Drosophila melanogaster: one gene and its partners. The protein of the gene in region 3 purifies or fractionates together with the protein of the main gene of each other region. This does not show direct contact. Each region holds a gene or a part of one and is shown on either strand. Other genes may lie near its edges. The genes, in order: thoc5, Orc3 and CG9890.

What was found.
Region 1: the proteins of CG9890 (region 3) and thoc5 purify together in Drosophila melanogaster (affinity purification with western blotting, with the first as the bait; one study listed by BioGRID). This does not show direct contact.
Region 2: the proteins of CG9890 (region 3) and Orc3 purify together in Drosophila melanogaster (affinity purification with western blotting, with the first as the bait; one study listed by BioGRID). This does not show direct contact.

Annotation. Positions count from the first base shown.
Region 1 is NT_033778.4:23,952,117-23,958,699, forward strand, and holds thoc5 (thoc5), read left to right. Parts: upstream 1-1,974; 5' UTR 1,975-2,047; coding exon 2,048-2,122; intron 2,123-2,182; coding exon 2,183-2,977; intron 2,978-3,031; coding exon 3,032-3,144; intron 3,145-3,202; coding exon 3,203-3,290; intron 3,291-3,343; coding exon 3,344-3,880; intron 3,881-3,936; coding exon 3,937-4,179; 3' UTR 4,180-4,290; downstream 4,291-6,583. Other genes in the region: Stoml2 (stomatin like 2), read left to right, coding at 37-318; CG3803 (uncharacterized protein), read right to left, coding at 422-1,274, 1,333-1,465, 1,523-1,625, 1,707-1,799; CG16787 (uncharacterized protein), read right to left, coding at 4,305-5,066; alpha-Catr (alpha-catenin related), read left to right, coding at 6,074-6,103, 6,216-6,396, 6,457-6,583. UniProt on the Drosophila melanogaster protein: The THO complex is required for cell proliferation and for proper export of heat-shock mRNAs under heat stress.
Region 2 is NT_033778.4:13,203,799-13,210,381, forward strand, and holds the start of Orc3 (origin recognition complex subunit 3), read right to left. Parts: upstream 2,750-6,583; 5' UTR 2,711-2,749; coding exon of another isoform or gene 2,583-2,710; intron 2,527-2,582; coding exon of another isoform or gene 2,382-2,526; intron 2,326-2,381; coding exon of another isoform or gene 2,200-2,325; intron 2,128-2,199; coding exon of another isoform or gene 1,978-2,127; intron 1,919-1,977; coding exon of another isoform or gene 1,678-1,918; intron 1,603-1,677; coding exon of another isoform or gene 1,592-1,602; 5' UTR 1,411-1,591; coding exon 1,384-1,410; intron 1,321-1,383; coding exon 517-1,320; intron 458-516; coding exon 1-457. Other genes in the region: CG34315 (uncharacterized protein), read right to left, coding at 1,592-1,602, 1,678-1,918, 1,978-2,127, 2,200-2,325, 2,382-2,526, 2,583-2,710; FLASH (FLICE-associated huge protein), read left to right, coding at 3,294-3,551, 3,608-3,798, 3,853-4,395, 4,455-5,997; CG34312 (uncharacterized protein), read right to left, coding at 6,087-6,160, 6,264-6,399, 6,458-6,583.
Region 3 is NT_033778.4:23,060,609-23,067,191, forward strand, and holds CG9890 (uncharacterized protein), read right to left. Parts: upstream 3,653-6,583; 5' UTR 3,614-3,652; coding exon 3,367-3,613; intron 3,313-3,366; coding exon 2,201-3,312; 3' UTR 2,139-2,200; downstream 1-2,138. Other genes in the region: Fatp2 (fatty acid transport protein 2), read left to right, coding at 1-649; DCTN3-p24 (dynactin 3, p24 subunit), read right to left, coding at 1,324-1,902; PPO3 (prophenoloxidase 3), read left to right, coding at 4,221-5,207, 5,272-5,367, 5,429-6,166, 6,229-6,459. UniProt on the Drosophila melanogaster protein: DNA binding protein which is involved in the positive regulation of both basal and inducible transcription.

The DNA of each region.
Region 1 (6,583 bases), 890 kb from region 3:
AATTTAAGATCGTGGTTTTCGTCTTATGCATTTCAGGATGGACAGAATGCTGCTTCGCTCACGCTGGCCGAGCAGTACATTGGAGCCTTCAAGAAGCTGGCCAAGACGAATAACACCATGATCTTGCCCTCGAATCCCGGGGATGTTAATGGCTTCGTGGCCCAGGCCCTGGCGGTGTACAACCACGTTTCCAACTCTAACCAGGCCACCAAGTCATCGGAAAACGTGAAGGGTGTGGGCGCCTGCCTGAACGCAAAGAGTGTTGAGTACAAGGAGTTGCAGGAGGATAAAAGCAGTGTGAAAATGAATATTGAATAGGAATGAATAAACGGTTGTTGCTATTACATTTGCCCCACTCATAGTTGTTATTATCAAGGCGAGGATATTAAATTTTTGGTTCAACAAATAAACGCCTATTTATTTACTTCGGAAGGTACTTCAACAGTCGAACCTCGTGCGACAGCCACAATGCGAAACTCAGCAGAATAAGCGAGCCCGACTGGTGGGCCGTTGCCAGAGGCACGGGCACGTAGTTAAGCAAGGTGGTTACGCCAAGCGTGGCCTGCGTCCAGGCCATAGCCACCACGGCGTTGATGGCCCAGTTGGCGCGCTTGGGCAACTGCATCCTTCTGGTGACCAGCCACAGAGCGGTGGTCAGCGTTACTGTGCTAATACCAAGGATGCGGTGATTGAACTGCACCGTCGTCGGATTCTCGGTGATGTTCTTCTGTATGGGCGCAAACGTCCACATGTCATCGGGAATCCACTTGTCGCCCATCTTCGGGAACGAGTTGTACACGAGTCCGGCGTCTAGTCCGGCTACAAAGGCTCCAGAAATGGCAGTCAGCAGGACCATTGCCTTCGTCAAATGCGTCAGCCCCTTGATATTAAATGCTTTCTTGGCTTGGATCACGAATGTGTTCGTGGGGATGAGCAGGGACATGGCCTTTGACAGGGAGAGTGAGTACAGGACGAAGGCAGCTGCCAGGTGGGAGGCCAATCTATACTGGGATACCCGTGGCACGTCGTTGGGATCCTGGAACCTGTCTTCCAGCCCGGACTTGACCATGTACCATCCCATCAGACCTTGCAGGCCAATCAGTGTGCCCAGCAGCAGGACGCTCTTCTTGGTCTTCGCACAGAAGTATCCCTTTCTCCAGAAGTAAACAGCGGGCAAAAGGAAGAACCCGCCGATGGCACGACCCCACATCCTGTGCATGTACTCCATCATGAAAATGAACTTGAACTCCTCCACGGTCATATTCACATTCTTTCTGAAAGCAGAAGTTTGCATGTAGTTCCTGGCGTTGGATGAATCTGGGGAGTACTCACAGCTTGTACTCTGGGTATTGCTGGTAGAGATTGAACTCCTGCACCCATTCCTCCTGGGTTCGGGGCATACGTTCACCCGTCAGCTTCCAAGTGACCATGGACAGTCCGGACTCTGTCAGTCGGGTTACTCCGCCTGGAAGAGATTCACTTTCGCAAGGAACTACAAACTTTACATTTTGTTATTGGTTACCTAGACCAACGGCCACGAAGACCATGCCGCTGACTCCCAGGAACCATCTTCCGACGGTCTTGTCGCTTTTCGGAGTGCTGATGGGCTTTATCACTGGGATTTCCTGAAAGGTGCGGCATTAACAAATATTACTTTATAAATAAAAACATATTTTTATATGTAATCAGTGGGATATTAATGCAACCTTTATCGCTGTTTGCGCAATCGTCTGGTGAAGTCGGGGGCCGGGTACTACTAGCTTTATGAGATTGGTTCTCTTCTGGAGCAATCGCAGCATTGTGTTATTTCAAGTTTGGAGAGATTAACTTAAGCTTACAGCAAATATTAAAGGATATATTTTGTTTTTTAACTATATTTACAAAGCCGCTACCAAGTGTGACCGCAGCAGTGGGGTATGCGCATATACTAAAATCATTTTGAAAAGTACCGGCGAATGTTATCGACTCGATAGCCTGGCCACATTATATCAGTTTTGTTAATAAAAACAACTTTTGCGGCTTCTGATTTACAATTTCGCCAAATAAAATGGAAACAATATTGAACACGCAGTTCGATCAGCTGCAAAAGGCCATAGAGGGAATTAAGGAGGCGAAGAGCAAGGTAAGTCCGATTTCCGTGCCAGAGTACAGCTCTAAATCCGTCCACATCCGTCACGAGCAGGGGCAATCGACGGATGAGGCTCGCATTGCCACCACCTTGATGTTCGTGGCTCTGAAGCACGCCAACCGCGAGGTGAAGCACAAGATCAAAGCGGGGCGCGACAAGCTGCACCTGGAAAAGTGCAAGGTGGACCTCAGCCGGCTGCAGCTGCAGAATCTTCTGTACGAAGTGAGCCACCTGAAGAAGGAGATTGTGCGCTGCCAGAAGTTCAAGAGCAGGGACACCAGCTTGGAGCTGCTCTCGGAAGCCGAGTACTCCAGCGAGCTGCCAGACATGCCCAACGACGCGGAGGAGCTGTCCAGCCACAAGCAGCACCTTCATCGCCTCGACTGCGAGCTGCGTCTGCGGAAGGCACTCGACAAGCAGTACAGCGCCCTGCTGAGCTCCAAGCAGGAACTGCTCCAGGACAATCTTAGCCACGCCCAGCGGTACGTCTCCTTCGCACCCGCCTTGCGCACTCTGCAGAGCGCCACAAAGCCGCTGCACGATGCACTCCAGCTATCCCTGGACGTGGAATGGAAGCTAAGCGCAGTGGTCAAGTACCTGCCCAAGCCGCTCTACGTTTTGTTCATTGTCCTGCAATCGCTGCAGCGGGTCAGCGAGGAGCAGTCCTTCACCGCCGAGGTGGTTGGCTATGAGAGCGAGGCTCAAATGCAGGAGTTGCTTAAGGAGAAAAAGTGCTCCACATTGAACTACAGACAGACTAAAAAGGAAAGTGGAGACCGGGAAAAGATTGCCGATAAAAACAACTTGGACGACTCACTCGCTCCTCACCCACTACACATTTGTTTGACGGTAGGATGACATGGTTTGCTCATTCCAAAACATTTATTAACCTAAACTTTAAAGATTGGAGCGGCTGGATCGAATCAGCTCGTTTTGCAGATTCGCTACTTTGATTTTATCAAGTGTGCCACTGTCTGGGGCCAACTTAACTGCTCCAGGAATGCCAACGGCCAGGGGTAAGTTTGGAACACACCTAGGAAAAAATCGCATAAATAACTAGGCATTTTTTCACAGTGACACAAACTTTGTTCACCACCTATTGCGGCATTTGTACCCCAATGACTTGGGCAATGAATTACCCATTCCGGGAATCCAATACGAGGTAAGAACTTCCTTATCCAACGTTGGACAACCAATTAAATTACGCTCTTTCAGCTACGAAGCTCGGATTTAACAGCCGAGGAATGTGTGCGCTACCTCAAGGCCAAGGACTACGGAAAACCCTTCTGTTGGCTGCAAAGTATGTGCTCGATTGCAACCGTCAACAGTTCGATGCTGTACAAACACGAACTGAACTTGAATAAGAACAACAAGGAGATTATTGACCGCATTGCCAGGCGCTTGAACTCTTGGCAGCGTTTAAGCCAGCAGATTCGCGGGCTGACCTTCAAGGATATCGATTTGTATAGCTTGCAGGAGAACATCTATCCAGCCGGCCTGTCGTGCAGTCTCGTCCAATGGACTGCCATCACACATGAGGAGCTTCACTCGCAAATTTCAGACGCACTGAATTCTTCGTCAGCGGACAAGGGTATTACGTACAACTCTTACCGCGCTGTCATCGTCCGGGGATCGGCCAAAATGGAGTGCTTTATTAGAATACCGAGTAACTATCCACTGGAAATGCCTCTATGGATTCTGAATGTGCACTGGAACGGATGCCTTACCGCGCAAAACAATTCGGCGATCAAGGTTTGAACTTATTCAGGTATTATCCTCCAATTAGCTTTTAAACTTGTATTCCTCAGATGATGGAGTTCTGGACCAACTCCCTGCAGCCCAAACATTTGGAGCCCAACGACTGCATCCTGTACGCGCAGCTCTTCCGCACCATCTACAGCTTCGATATATTCCTCGAAACCGAGGGATCCATGCAAAACACCATTGAGTACAACAAGGAGAAGCCTTACATAAGCGCCTTCGCCAAGCGGAGCCGCTCACGCCCCTACAAATACATCAAGAAGGGATCGGTCTACGCGTTCAAGCAGTGACAGTTGAATAACGAATGTTGTACAACACAATGCGCCAATGCGGTTACTAAACGTTCTCACAGTTGCGTTTATTACGATTAGTAATACAATAAATAAGTAACATTTAAAGCTAGCTAGCTACGACTTCATTGGCAGTTGATCTTCTGGGAAGAGGTCGCTGCCAAGGATCCGGGAGGTAGTGCCGTCGCAGAAGGGTTCTCAACCGCCTCCCGACTCTCGTCCGGCATCACTTTGTCCACGACGTGCTTGACGATCAGCCCATCGTCGCCCAGATAGCAGACAGAGTAGCCGTCGTACCAGGCCTCCTGATCCTTCAGCACCTCCTTCAGTTGCCAGAGCTTGTACTTCCAGAACTGGAACATGACCTTCAGGCCGGAAATGCCGCGCACTCGCCACCTTATCCGCACTGTGTAGTCGTCCTGGTGCTTCGTGATCTTGAGCACCTCGAATTTCACGTAGGCGTACTTCAGGTGGCCAACCGTTCGCAGGATGGCGATCTGTTTGACGTAGTGGTACAGGCCCACCGTGTGCTTGCCCGTTATGTTGTTGTGGAAGATTAGGCCCGGGCTGTAAATGGAGTAGTCTAGGGGCTCCACGAACAGCTTTGGTAGCGTGGTCCTCAGAACCTCGTAGGCTCTATCCAGGTCCTCGGGCTTACGCTCGTTCTCCTTAGGGTTCCCGGGCAGCCTCTCCGCTTTGGTGCTCTCGTAGGCCCTTCGACTTTGCTGGAGGTTATTGGCGGCATGGCTGTTTAACAACTTTTGTGGACACTTCGCCGGCGCAGACGCACTTAGCCGCATGGCGGACGCCCACGCCCGCTCCTTGGAGCACCAGTTGGCCATCCAGCTGCTCCTTCTTATTGATGAAATCCCGAAATTTCGCAACATCTTGCAAGGACTTTGTGTGCTACTTCCTTCACCGGAACTGGGTTTCCTCGATTCAGATCTGCCTCGTCTGCAGATCACACCATTCAAATTGAACTTAGATCCTGGCTATTTTTCGTTTGCGGCCCTCAGGAATTTGACGTGCTCGTGTTTAGGTAACAACATTTGGAAATAAAATACTCGGCAAAAATCATATGGTCGTTGGGCTGCAGTGTGGCCAGACTGTGTGTAATGTCCCAATAGCTGCGAGTGCCAGTGTGGATGTTAGGGGAACTCCCGTTGTCCAGGGTTGTCATGCCGGATTAGTTTCACAAATTAACTTCCGCAACCGGAAGTCATGAAAATGGAAAATATAACTTATTTGGTTTGAATTTAGTGTTTCAAGCTTATTACATGAAATATGTTGTCTCTTTTTTGAAGTGCAATAATCTCAAACACTTTTCATTTATGTAAGTACATGGTTTTGGAGTTGCCTTATGCGGTTTTCTTGGTTGTTCTTCTGATAAATGTTTGGTACCTCAACAAGCATCGAATCCAGGCACTCGCATCCGCATCGAATCCCACAGGAGGCGTTTGACGAGAAACTGTTGCACTTTACAGTACTAAATGGTTTTGTGCGCAGACTTGCTGCGCAGACCAATTTGTTACAAGCTCGAATCACACACAAATCTGGGGGCATACACATATATCTGTCTGCAGGTAAACACGTTGTTTACAGCCACCCAGCTATATAACACTAATTTGAGCTGAGGAGCTTTCGCTGGCTGAAAAATCGACTTTTATTTGAGCTTAAACCCATAGAGCCTCGTACTATGACGCGCTAATCGGTGACCGTATTATTGAGTGCCAAATTCTCGACTTAGTTGCAATGTCTACTCGACTCTGCTAGCCCTAGTATTGAGAAAAATCAATAGGAAGTAAATAAAAATGCTGCATGCCTGAAACTCGCTTTGCGGATACTCTTAAACTACGTATAATCAATTTTTCTATCGGTAACCGAGCTATCCAAAATGTACGGAATCACTCAATCAACTGTTAACGTAAGTACCCAACCGGCTGTCCGGGATAACTTTCCGTTCTAGTCCTCAGCGATTATTGATTGGCCTTGAAACCCAACCAACTGCCAATGTGGGCTCTCCTTCCCCTCTCCAGAATCAACGCTTTCGAGTTCGTGATATGGATAACGAGCAGATCATGTCCACTTTTGGGAACATAGGTCACCTGCTGAACATTGCCGTGGAGCGATTTATAACCATTGGCGAGATCATCGCCGAGGAGAATATTGACATCAAGGGAGACATGTACGAGGCGGCGAAGGAGGCCAGAGATGCGGGTAAGAAGACATCCTTTCCAGCCTGGTACATCCTTTTCATTGTATTTTGTTGTACGATAGGAAAATCGATTGAACGACTTTGTGATATTTCACCTCTAAGCGGCATGGAGCTGCGCCACCACATCGAGCCCCTTAAGGACTATGGAGCCATCATTTTGGCGGCCCGCTCCCTGCTGTCGTCCGTCAC
Region 2 (6,583 bases), 9.9 Mb from region 3:
ACAGTTCCCGGCGTAGCTTTCCCAGCGGACAGCGCGGCAAATCACCAACCAGCTCTGTAAGGAACTCCAGAGAGCAGCGGAAAAGCAGGAAGTGGAGCAGGCAGTCGCGCAGCAACTGCGGCAGTTTCTTCTTTAGGTAGTCATCGTCCGTGAGCACGGCTATGATGCGTTTGCAATCATTGATCTGCTCGACGTACGGACGAAACGATGGGAGCCTTCTGATGGTTTCCATATCCTCGTGGGTCAGCTGCTTTATGCGTCCCAATGCTTTGCTGTAGTCTGTGCAAAGAGCAAAGGCATTCCCACCAAAGAAGTGTTCCATCAGGCAGTACTTGAAGCCCTGAATAAAGCCGTGGATGGAGAAGTCGTAGTATAGGAAGATGTGCGTCAGGAACTTGAATGTCTTTCCCGACAGGTGGAAAGCGTACTTGGGCGACAGCAGAACTTTATCCAGCACCTAAAGGTTGTTAGAAAACCGATTAGTACATAAACTAGCACAGAGTTAAGGAATATTACCTCATTAAGGCCCGTGGGAGCAGCTTGAGTCTGGAACACCCTTAGACGAATCTTGCTGCTGACGTGGTATGGTAGTGTCCCATGGACAGCTGTCATGGCCGTGGCCACTCCCAGGACCAGGACGAATGGAAGCGAGCCGCAGTGAGCGCTCAAAATTAGAATAAGATCCTGCAGCACGCTTGCGTTAAAGCACTCAAAGTCGGGAAGGATGACGACCAGCTGGCGGCGCTTCTGTTCCGAGTCAAAATTGTTCGTGTACCAAGACTTCAACTGCTTCATGGTGCACTGCGAGCGACGTAGCCGCTTGCGATCCCGTTCGGCACCATCCTCGTCCTCGTCCTCGTCTTCCATTTGCTCCACTTCTGCATTATCTTCTACGAGCCCGAAAACCAATGTCTCAACGGCCGCCTTGAGAGTGGCGCAATCCCTGGACTGCAGCACACATACCATTGCAGCACGTTGGGCATGGAGTCGCTGGGTAAGTGCCGTGAACTGGCTGAGATGATCCGGCTGATTAATGCCCGTTAGCAAGGCGGCGGTGGGCAGCACCTCGTCCGGGGTGTCGCGCTCTGCCTGCCCCACCACAAAGTCCACCAGTTGCTCCAGAGTGCGGGCATAGCTGCGGTGCTGCAGGTCGGCAATGTGATCGTTTATCTGATTCCAGGCCTTGCGATATTCCTCATAGAAGGGCTGCTGCACTACCTCTTTGCCAAGAAGACTACTGGATTCTGCGGCAGGACGCTTCCGTTTGCTGGCCGCCTTTTTCCCTGCTCTCGTAGCGCCATTTTTGTAGACAAAACAGCCCTGCAGACAACAAAAATAAGTAGTTAAACATCTATGTCCAGTTTGGAAGCCGAAGCCACTCACCTTGGACACTGAAATGGTGGGATCCATCGCTGGCTTTGCACTGCGGCCCGATGTCGTGGAGTCTTTAAGTCGCCGGGTTGCGTTTATTTATTTATTTGTTTAGGTCAGCTCTGTGCCAATTAAAGTTTCTTCACCGGTAGGAACGCGAAATGAAATCAGCTGGCTGTTGTGTTTGGCGCCAAACGGGCGGCAGTGTTGGCTAACGACTTTAGGGGGTATCTTTGAAAACAAGTGTGAAAAGTATAAATTAATTGAATATTTCATCTAACATGAACTAATAATAAGAAATCATACCCTTCGTGCTCGTACGCCACCATTTTGGTGGATACGAATTCGTCGTAGTTTCTGTGAACAGCACCAAGTTTTTTGAACGTTCGCCATCGCAACGATCCGACCATTTTGGGGCCACTTGGAATGAGAAAAGATAGAGGAGCAGGAAATCGAGGAACAGTATGATGGCTGCCAGGAAGTAGTCCTTCGTGCGCATCTCGGCGAACCTTCCACCGTTTATAATCTGCGCGTGATACATGACAAACTGTAAGGAGGAAACTAAATGACAGAAACTAATTCAAAAATGTATGACTCAGTACTAACCATCAAGATGCTGATCACTATAAAGCAACGGGCGATTATAAACGAGTATGCGACATTAGCCACGATGTAGAGCATCACGAAGTATATGGCGCCGATAATGGAAACCACTGCAAGCACAAATAGCACCACAACATCCAAAGTAAGATCCAGCTTAAGGGGATAACAATAAAAATGTGAAGCTTCAGATTTGAATCAAATGGCTTTCATGTGGACTCTTCTTACCGGAAGAAAGGAACCACAGACAATAAAAAGCGCCAATGCTACGGTCCATATAAGGAAGCTGAAGAGAAACTGATACTTGTAGTGGCGGGCAACCAGCGGTGCAATCCCCAGTACAATGCATTCAAACTGGAAAGAATAAGTTCATACTGCCACCCAGGTTATGTTTCACATTGTAGACTTACAATTAGAAAGGCAAACAACCAGTTTACCATTTTATTAAAGCGCAGTACCTCGAAAAATATGAAAAGTACGAGGAGTATCAGGCCTATTCCAAAAAAAAGGCAGCTCAACCAATGGTACGAAGTAAAAAATTCCCTTAGAAAATTTCTGAAAATTAAGAAAAAGTGCAGTGAGGATGAAGTAATGTGAAAATACATACGTACACAAAGCGGAAAGTGGCCCATTGCAACAGCGCAAGGATCAGGAATATCGCGGTTAGTAGGTAAGTGATCAGAGCGAACTTTCTTCTTTCCTTCTTGTAGTAAGAACTTTTTTCCGGAATGTCTGCCATTGTGTAGTGTTTCTCGAGTATTATTGTTTGTATTGTGATGTTTTTTTTTAACGAATTTAAGTGTACAGTAATACGAAATGGGAACTAGATTGATTTTAAAATTATATTCTTGGGAAAACACGTAAGTGCATAATAAAATTTTTAAAATATTCGTTTTGGCGCCAAATGTTGCTGCTGGATATCGATATCCACTATCAGGGTTGCCACATTTTCAGCCGGTCAGCTGTTGCTTCCGATAATCAACTGCATCTTCTGTTATCGATTGGCGGCAACACGGGATTTTCTAACAATATTAAATAGAATAATAATAATAATTACATTTATACAAATACACGGCAGGGAAACAAATTGCACGCCAGTTTGGAGGAAATGCTCAGGACAGTGACCATTGAGCTTTAGTGGAACTTTTATTCCCTGAAACAAAAATCAAGAACATTGAAATTCTTTTGTGTTTCGAATTTTGATCAATTTATGACTGAACAGGTAATCAATAAAGTAGCTCCATTAAAAAACAGTAACTCTAACAATTCATTTTATGTATCCTTGTTTAAAGGGCAGCCAAGAAGAAACGTAAGCGATTGGTATGGAAACGCCTGCATATGCCACGAAATCTGGCGGAGAACTGGTGCTGCCCGAAGCTCTGGAGGACTTGATGGATTTGGAAGACCAGGACGCGGGCGGGATGAAGTCCAACGTTAAGGATAAATCCATGGATTTGGATATCTATCACGATTTGTACGATATAGAGCCTGCAGGTTCAAAGAAGCCTGACCAAATGGACAGATCCCTTGAACTGGACATCTACGATGATTTGGACGACTTTCAGAAGGCCGAAGATCGTGTAAGTTGTGCAGGAATACGTCCTTTCAGCAGAGTTACCCATTTACCATCTCACAGAATACCAAGGAGCTACAGGCATGGGAAGCCAAATACGAAAAGGCACTGGCCGAAATTGAAGCGCTAAAGGTTGAGAATAAGGCACTTGGCAAGAAGATAAAAACCATGGAGGTTAATCTACAGAATCTACTGGACACAGCTAAGGCGGAGGTAAAGAGAAAAGAGACACTGATTGCCGAGCTGCGAAACGAGTAAGTTAGCATATTGACTCCCTGCTTCTTAACAAACAACACATTGTTCAACAGAAAGGACGATGTATGCTTCCGACGAAAACGAGCACGGGCGTTTGACGTACCAGGTGCAAGGGAACCCGAAAGTAAGCGTCCGAAAGAATTTCAATCTACACCAATCGATGTCAGGAAATATCCGGAAACGAATAGAAATCCGTTCAAAACGGCTGCAAAGGACGCCGCTAAGGATGATGCTAGGAAGATGATGACCAAAAAAGATGACACAACGAAAGTCGTATCAAAAGATGTTGAAAGAGGCGTAAAATCCAAGGAGGATAATAAGATGGCGACCAATAAAGATGATGACAAGAAGTCATCCTCAAAGGATGATGCTTGGAAATCTAGGACAAGAGAAGACGCCAAGAAATCGGTCCAAAGAAGCAAGTCTCCCAGGCCGGAACACTCAAAGACCACCGATCGGAAATCTACTGCACAGGCTCGTCGTCCAGATCCACATCGCAGCCGGAGTCCAAAACATAATTCCCGGCGAGATCATCACAGGAATCAAGAAAGCAGTTCCCGGCACGCCAAACGGCGAAGCCAATCCGCATCGCCCAGGTCAGTAAAGCAGAGGGACATAAGTTACATTTGTTGATAGCACCATCTGATTTTTGTAGCAAGATACAATTGCCAAGAGAAAAAGCAAATGCCATCATCACACTTACTGACGATGAAACAAATGACCAACGCAGCAAGAGCCCAGTCCCCGTGACCGTCAAACTCGTAACTGAATCTCAACCGGCTGAAAAAGTCGTTTCCAACCGAAGGGATGCTGCTTTAGAAACCAATGCAAATTCCTCAAAGGAATCAAAAGTAGAGACGAAGGATATTACTCAACCGACAAATGGTTTAATTGCTGAACCTTGTATTCCAAAACATGAGATTATTCCGGGGTTAAGCTTAATTAACCCAGAATCGGCGGATTTTTCTAAAAATGAGATCAAGTTAGATCCTGTAATCTTACAGGATCGTACAGAAGACTCTGGCCACCAACTTTTAAATAAGGAGCCTATTCCCAAAGTTGTAGTACTTGAAAAATGTAAAAACATTTTAGCTGAAGATTGCCCAGCTGATGAGCAACCCCTGGACAAATTCAAGGATGGAAAAGAATCTGAAGAGACACAGGCAAAGTTAGACAAAAAAGAGCCTTTTGCAGTTGAAACTGCTGTTGAAACTCCTAGCAAAGAAGAAAGCAACGACAACATAGTATTATCAAAGAATACGACGTCTCAAGCTGATGTGTGTTCTCAGCATGATGAGAATGATGAAGCAGAGATCCGAGAACCGATGGATCAAGTTAACTCCGTGGTCGAGTCCGACTTGGGAGTAAGGATTATTGAGGATATTCGGTTGCCCAAGATGGCGAATATCGACCATTTTGCTGTAAAGGTCGACAACCATGGTGAAGCGCCAGCAGCTGTCACAGATTCCGCTTTAAATCAAGAGAACCTAGCCACACAGGACCAAAAGATTTGCGCAGAGATGAAAGATCCAACTATTTTTACCACCTCGGACGAAACTCCAATAAAGTCTGCTACTATATTATACGCCAAGCCCGATTCAACAAAACTGGATCACAGCGATGAACATGACGAGGTTATCCTGGAAACTGCCATTGACATGCTGAAGAAGGAGCAGGATGCAGCGAGCACCGCAGAATCCACATATCCGAAACTGCGGATCGCAGAAGATGCCATTGAGATGGCACTAGAGCAATTGCACCAGCAGTCGCCGGACGAAACTGTGGTGACCTCAACGTCGAATAGAGCGCCGCAGACGCCAAAAAGCCTCATCACAATACTCACCCAGACTCCAAAACAGGCTGATCCACTAAGATCCCAAACGAAATCGAAGACTGTGTCGCCGATGGCGACGCCTAAGAAGACGGCCACGGAGAAGACCCCAGTGAAGAAGAGAAAGGTCAACATGGATAGTTCGCCGCAGGTGCCAGCCCATGATGTTACCATCGACGAAACTTTGGGTGCCTGCAGTCTGCAGGACGAGAGCTCAACTGTGACCAAACGCTGCTCCCTGGGCCACACAGACTACCAGTACGAACAGATAAAGGACGAGGTCATTTTAAGAGTGAAACGACGGGGTCGCCGACGAAAGCCAACACCTATGGAAATACCTACGACTGCTGCGGACAAACCAATTTGAAATAAAATTGTGTAATCGATTTGAAGTGTCCACTTCGAATTTATTTATATATATTACATTGCTGCACCCAATGATTGGGTGAATAGGTGTTAATTCACGCGATCAGGACTTTCGATCATCTTGAACCATGAGTAGGCAACGATCCAAAAGTAAATGGCTACACCTGTGGGTTTTGAATTATTATTAATAATAAGGTACTTAAAATAAGCAAACTATTCTTAATTCTGGATAGTGTGAAAATATATCAAATATTTTGCAAGCTTTACCAAATCCGCCGATGATAAGGAATAAGGTCAAAATCACAGGGCCAATTGCGACGCAAACATAAATGAAAAACATAAGATCATAAACAATGCGAATTGCGCCTGTTATTAGATAGCCAATGACCAGTTTTTTGGATTTCTGGAAAAGACGAGAGTCTTAATTAATAGATTGCTTCTAACTAGAAATGAATACTTACCACCCAAACAGAGCCAATAACTGAGACACAAAACACTAGGTGGGCAAAGTGGATGACAAGTGTGATGATCCAAACGTAGTAGGTGGAAGTGTAGCTGACCTCAAACGTTCCCATATCATGATCAAT
Region 3 (6,583 bases):
GCCTTTGAGGAACAGCCAAGGACTGTGTGAGAGATGCGAGGCGGATGAGCCAGGCGTCTTCGTTGGAAAGATTGTGCGGGGTAATCCCTGCCGTGAGTTCCTCGGCTACGTTGACCAGAAGGCCTCCTCCAAGAAGGTGGTCCACGATGTCTTCTCCAAGGGCGACATGGCCTTCATCTCGGGCGATCTGCTGGTGGCCGATGAGCGGGGCTATCTGTACTTCAAAGATCGGACCGGCGACACTTTCCGCTGGAAGGGTGAGAATGTCTCCACCAGCGAGGTGGAGGCGCAGTTGAGTAATCTGGCTGGCTACAAGGATGTGATTGTGTACGGCGTAAGCATACCCAACACTGAGGGCAGAGCAGGAATGGCAGCCATCTACGATCCCACTCGGGAGGTCAACGTCAGCCAGCTGGGCGTGGAACTGGCCAAATCCCTGCCCAACTACGCCAGGCCGCAGTTTCTCAGATTCCTGCGCAAAATCGACCTGACGGGCACCTTCAAGTTGCGCAAGGTGGAGCTTCAGCAGCAGGGCTTCAATCCGGAGATCATCGACGATGAACTCTTCTACGCCCAACCGGATGGCGTGTATGCTCCACTCACCCCATCCGTATACGAGAGGATAGTTAGAAACGAGCTGCGATTCTAGGAGCGCCGGACTTTGTTCTTGGGAAGAAGAAAAGTCAAGACTGTGCCTTGTATGTTGGTGAAGAGGATATCCTTTGGATTCGGCTTGTGGTGCGCCAACTACTTTTAATTCTGGCTAAGTTTCTTATTGTCCGGACAATATAAACTTTAGCATTGGAAATTTACTGTTGAAAGAGCGTTTCCGCGGGTAAATTATTATTTTGTAACTATTTCCTTCTACAATTCCTACATACATAAGTGTCACATCGTATTGTATACATTGTATAGATAATAAAAATAAAATTCAGCCAATGATAAATCCATATTGTGCTCTATTATGTGATTATAGCATTTTCCTTCTGTAAGACAGGATTTTGATTGGTTTTCATTAGATTTGTAATTTAGTTTATTGTGCTTAGTTAAATAGTTTTTAAAAATGAAACTTACAATTGAAAGAGCATCATTAGCCACTTTACGTTGGAGTAGTTAGAAAATCTAATATCCCGGCTTCCTTAAACAGTTCCAATCAAATCGGGATGGCTTTAGCTACGATTACACTTTTCAATAGAACCTAGGTTACATCCATTGCTTGAGCAACTGATGCCTTCAGCTTAAGTGGAACCAGATTTTCAGGTGAACGGATTTGGAAACGGGGTCGTATAAAATACTTTCAGCAGTCTTTGGATCTATATCCGCTCAATCCTTGGGCGGCACATCCTTGCTCAACTCTGCACGCTTCCTCTGCTCCATGCGCTCCTCTACCTGGTCCAAGCGCTCGCTCATGGCATCCAGGGAGCTCAGCAGTCCCGCCTGGATCTCGCCATATCGCTTCATGGCCAGGACCAGACTCTCCTCGATAAGTTCGCTCTGCTGCGCGTACTCCCCGTTGTTCTGCGTTATGCCCTTTAGCTGCTCCAGACACTCGGCGGGAATGCTGCGGAAGTACTCCGCGCCCAGGGCCGGTTCCAGCTGCTTAATCCTCTCCAGCTGCTCGGCCTGCGTGTGCAGCTCGGGGGCCACGGCTTGCAGGTACACCTCCTTGGAGCGCACCTGCTGGTGCTCCTCCAGGAAGTTGGGGTCCAGGTACTTCTCCAGCTCGTCAGATCTCTTCACGCACTGCTGCAGTGCAGCACTTCCTGTGGTTGCTTCGCCCAGGATGGCGTGTGCCGAGCACAGGGCGTCGACCACGCCCTCGCCCACCTCAGAGTCCTGGACCGGACCCAGGACTCGTGTCAGGGCATCGATGCGCTTCTCCAGAATGTCCAGTGCCTCCATTTTTCGCTGAATTTCTCTTTATTTTGTTCGTTTTGATGGGAATGATGTCAGTCTGCAAAACAATCGATGTCCAACGAAAAGGTGGCAACGTTAGCTTGGTGGCAAGGTTCTTGTACTCGCTAAGCAGAACGAATTAACCCTTATGCGGACTAAAAAATATGGTATTTAAATAAAATATTTAGCTCCTCTGCATAAAGTTTTTGGTGCATACGTATCTATAAATATAGTACACACTTAAATTCCATTGCTATTTACTTAGTTTCTTTTAAACGTAAACTGTACAATACAAAAATCTCAGTTACAACAGCTTAAAATTCTCGAGGGACAACCGCTCCGCATCCTTGTTGATCTGCGCCAGACTATCCTCGGAGATGATGCGCACCGTATCGACGTCCGGGTCATCGCCTCCGGAATCATCCAGCACACACAGCAGACCATCGTTCTCGATGTACGGGAAGAAGAACTCGGGCTTGTCCCAGCTCTCCTTATCGCCGATTCCGTGGTGCGACTCTTGTGCCATGTGCTCCACGAGCAGCTCCTCCTCGTCGAACTGCAGATCGCAGGTCACGCAGCGCAGCAGGCACATTTGGCGGCGCAGGTAGTTGACCACCTTGACGCGTTGGTAGAAGTTCAGAGAGCTGGTGGCCTTCTCGAAATCCAAGCGATGAACCTCGTGCATGTGCTTCTTGAGGGCGGTGAAGTTGTCGCCGAGATGGTGGCAAAACAGGCACTTAATGGAGCTAGGCTCACCATCTGCCGCCCAATCCGACCAGTCCGAATCGTGTTCGCCATCCGAATCAGGGCGAGCGAAGTGCTTGTCGAAGTCCACGCTGCCGGTTTCAGGATCAGCAACTGTGGACACGGATGCCGTTTCCCGTCTTCGCTTTTGGAGGTGCTGTTTCCGGGGCGTGGGGGCCGTTGGTACACGATTGTAGTTGATAAGGAAGTACTTGTCGTACTCCCTTCGGTTCGGATTGATCCGCTTGTGGCCCTTCTTGCGCATGTGTTCCTTGAGCGTGGGCCGATCCCTGAAGATCTTCTCGCAGTAGAGGCACATTAACCGATTCAAGTTCTCCTCCAGGTGATCCAGCAGTTCGTCCACATACACCAGCTTCTCGGGCTTGCCGACCAACAGAAAGTGCTTGTCAAACAGATGGTCCAGATAGTCCGCCCTCAATCCCTTGATGATGGCCCTGCAGAAAAGGCACTCCTTGGAGAAGGTGCGGTCGGTTAGCTCGAACTGATGTCGCTCCAGGGCTTCACTTAGGCGCTTCTCCTTCAACCTTCGCCGCAGCTCGTAGTCCTGGGGCAGGATGTCACACAGCAGGTAGTACTTTTCGTTCTTGGCGTACTTGCCATCGGGCAGCTGATCCAGGAACATTGTGGTGCAATATTGCTCGAATTCGTGGGCTAAAATGGGTAACAATTATTAAATTTTCAGGGTAGGGTTGCTGATTCTCTCACTGTGAAACTCCTTTTCCCAGTACTGGAGGTAGTCCTCCAGAAGCGCTATATCCTCCACATCGGCGATGACCAGTCGGTGCTCCATATACAAATGCGCCAGGCAGTCATCTTTATCTGACGGAAATATGTACACCTTGTCGCATTTCAGGCACTTGATGGCCGTGTTCTTGGAGGGCTTGAGTTTCGAACTGCCAGTGATCTCCTCCAGCGAGGAATCCCCTCCTGAAACAGCCACCTCGTGCTCCATTTGTTTACGTTCTCCTGGTGCTCCACGAATAAGTGTGACCGCAGGTGCTTAGCGGCAAAATACTGTTTGCGAGATAAGCTTAATTATGACGTACACTGGAAACAATTGAAAATTTAATGAATTTAATTTAATGCACAAAAAAAATTAAATAAATACTTACAACTGTCTTATGAAGACTAAATAATCAAAAAATGATATTCAGTATTTTCGATGTAGACAACACGTACTGGAAATGTTAATATCCTTATAGGATATTATACGATTCAAATATTTGTAACTTATCTGTGAATTAAAATTCTGAAACTTACAAATACATTGTTCGTTAAGTTTTCAACAGACTATGATGAATCAGCAGCATCTTATCGGTTAAAAATGTTTTTTTCGGAACTCTGTGATTCAATGCTTATACTATGGCAATAGTTAAAAATTCTTAAGTTAGTAATATTTTAGATTGTTTTTTGGGGTTGACGAACTTGAGATGTTCGCCATGTAACCATAGGGCATTTCGGCTGCTGGGTATAAAAGGAGCTGATAGTTGGGTGGGGACGTGCAGTTGAGAATCAGCAACTGCTCGCTAAAGGTCCTCCTAATCGCGAATCCATCGAAAATGGCCGACAAGAAGAATCTGCTCCTTCTGTTCGATCATCCCACGGAGCCCGTGTTCATGGACAAGGGTGGCAATGGCACCGTCTTCGACGTGCCCGACTCCTACGTGACCGATCGCTACAATCAGATGTGCAAGAAGGTCCAGCGGCGCGTGAGCAGCGCGTCCGAGAAGAACGTTCAAGTCAAGGAGATCGCCATACCGGATCTCAGTTGCTCCATGAGACTGGGCCGCTCGGAGCAGTTCTCGATCTTCCTGAAGTCCCACCGCAAGATGGCCAGCCACCTGATCGAGATCTTCACCAAAATGCAGACCGTGGATGAGCTGCAGAGCGTGGCGGTGTACGCCAGGGATCGCGTCAATCCGGTGCTCTTCAACTACGCCTTGTCGGTGGCCCTGCTCCACCGTCCGGACACCAAGGACCTCGAACTGCCCGCCTTTGCGCAGACCTTCCCGGATCGCTTTATCGACTCGAAGATGCTTCGCAGCATGCGCGAGGAGTCCTTTGTGGTGGAGCGCTCCGCCGCCCGCCTGCCCGTCGTCAGTTCGGTCAAGTACACCGCCTCCGATCTCGATGTGGAGCACCGGCTGTGGTACTTCCGCGAGGACCTGGGCGTCAACCTGCACCACTGGCACTGGCATCTGGTCTATCCCATAGAGGCGCCCGACCGCAGCATCGTGGACAAGGACCGTCGTGGCGAGCTGTTCTACTATATGCACCAGCAGATCATTGCCCGCTACAATGCCGAGCGGCTGAGCAACCACATGGCCCGGGTGCAGCCGTTCAACAACCTGGACGAACCAATTGCCGAGGGCTACTTCCCCAAGATGGACTCGCTGGTGGCCAGTAGGGCGTATCCTCCGCGCTTCGATAACACCCGGCTGAGCGATGTGGACCGGCCTAACAACCAGTTGAGGGTTGGCATCGATGATATGAAGCGCTGGCGCGAACGCATCTACGAGGCCATCCATCAGGGCTACGTTTTGGATGTGAGTGGGGAGCTCTCCGATTCCAGGAGTACATGCATCCAACAACTAATTGGTTATTTTTTAGACGAACAATGAAAAGATCGTGCTGGATGACGCTAAGGGCATCGACATCCTGGGCAACATCATCGAGGCTTCCGATCTGACGCCCAACAGTACGCTGGTAAGGAATCTAAGTGATAATCTGTAGATCACCTTTCCATGTATATTATTTCCATCTGCAGTACGGCGACTTCCACAACATGGGGCACATACTGATTGCCTACTCACACGATCCGACCAACAAGCACCTGGAGTACGCGGGCGTGATGGGCGACGCCTCCACCGCGATGCGCGATCCGATCTTCTACAAGTGGCACGCCTTCATCGACAATATGTTCCAGGAGCACAAACGTCTGCTTTCTCCCTATGAGAAGCAAGAGCTCAGCTTTCCGGACGTTCGCGTCGAGAGCATCCAGGTGGAGAGCCAGGGTCAGGTCAACAGGCTGACCACCTTCTGGCAGGAGTCCGATGTGGACATGTCCCGTGGCCTTGATTTTGTGCCGCGCGGCCATGTCCTCGCTCGGTTCACCCATCTGCAGCACCACGAATTCAGCTACACCATCAAGGTGGAGAACTCCAGCGAGGCCACGCGGTATGGCTACGTGCGCATCTTCCTGGCGCCCAAGCTGGATGATCGCAATGCACCCATGCTGCTGGAGCAACAGCGCCTGATGATGGTGGAGCTGGACAAGTTCGTGGTTACCATGCCTCCCGGCAGCCATACGATCACCCGGAACTCCACGGAGTCGAGTGTCACCATTCCGTTCGAGCGCACCTTCCGCAACCTGGACAAGCTGGAGGAGCTGCAGAACTTCTTGTGCGGCTGCGGTTGGCCCCAGCACATGCTGATTCCGAAGGGTCGGCCCGAGGGTCTGCGCTTCGAGCTCTTCGTCATGGTTTCCAACTACGAAGAGGATAAGGTAAGGTGTCTTTAGAGTATACTGCGAATGCCTCCTGATCCCAATCCTCTTTCCTTGTGCAGGTTGACCAGACGGTCGCAGATTGCGGCTGCAGCATCGCCGCTTCCTACTGCGGCCTGCGCGATCGCCTCTATCCGGATCGCAAGTCCATGGGCTTCCCCTTCGATCGCAAGCCGCGTCGAGGCTCCGAGATCCTGGAGAACTTCCTGACGCCCAACATGTGCGCCGTGGAGGTCATCATTACCCACGAGGACCGCACCGAGAAGCTTCGCGAGGTACCAGCTCGCTCCTGAATAAGAGAAGCATCTTGTTATGGCCAGTTTCATTTTTTGGCTTAAAGAGAAGCCACTAATAACGGTCTATAGCTTTCTCGCTGTGTAGAAAATACCAAATAAATTAATGAAATACTATCAGATG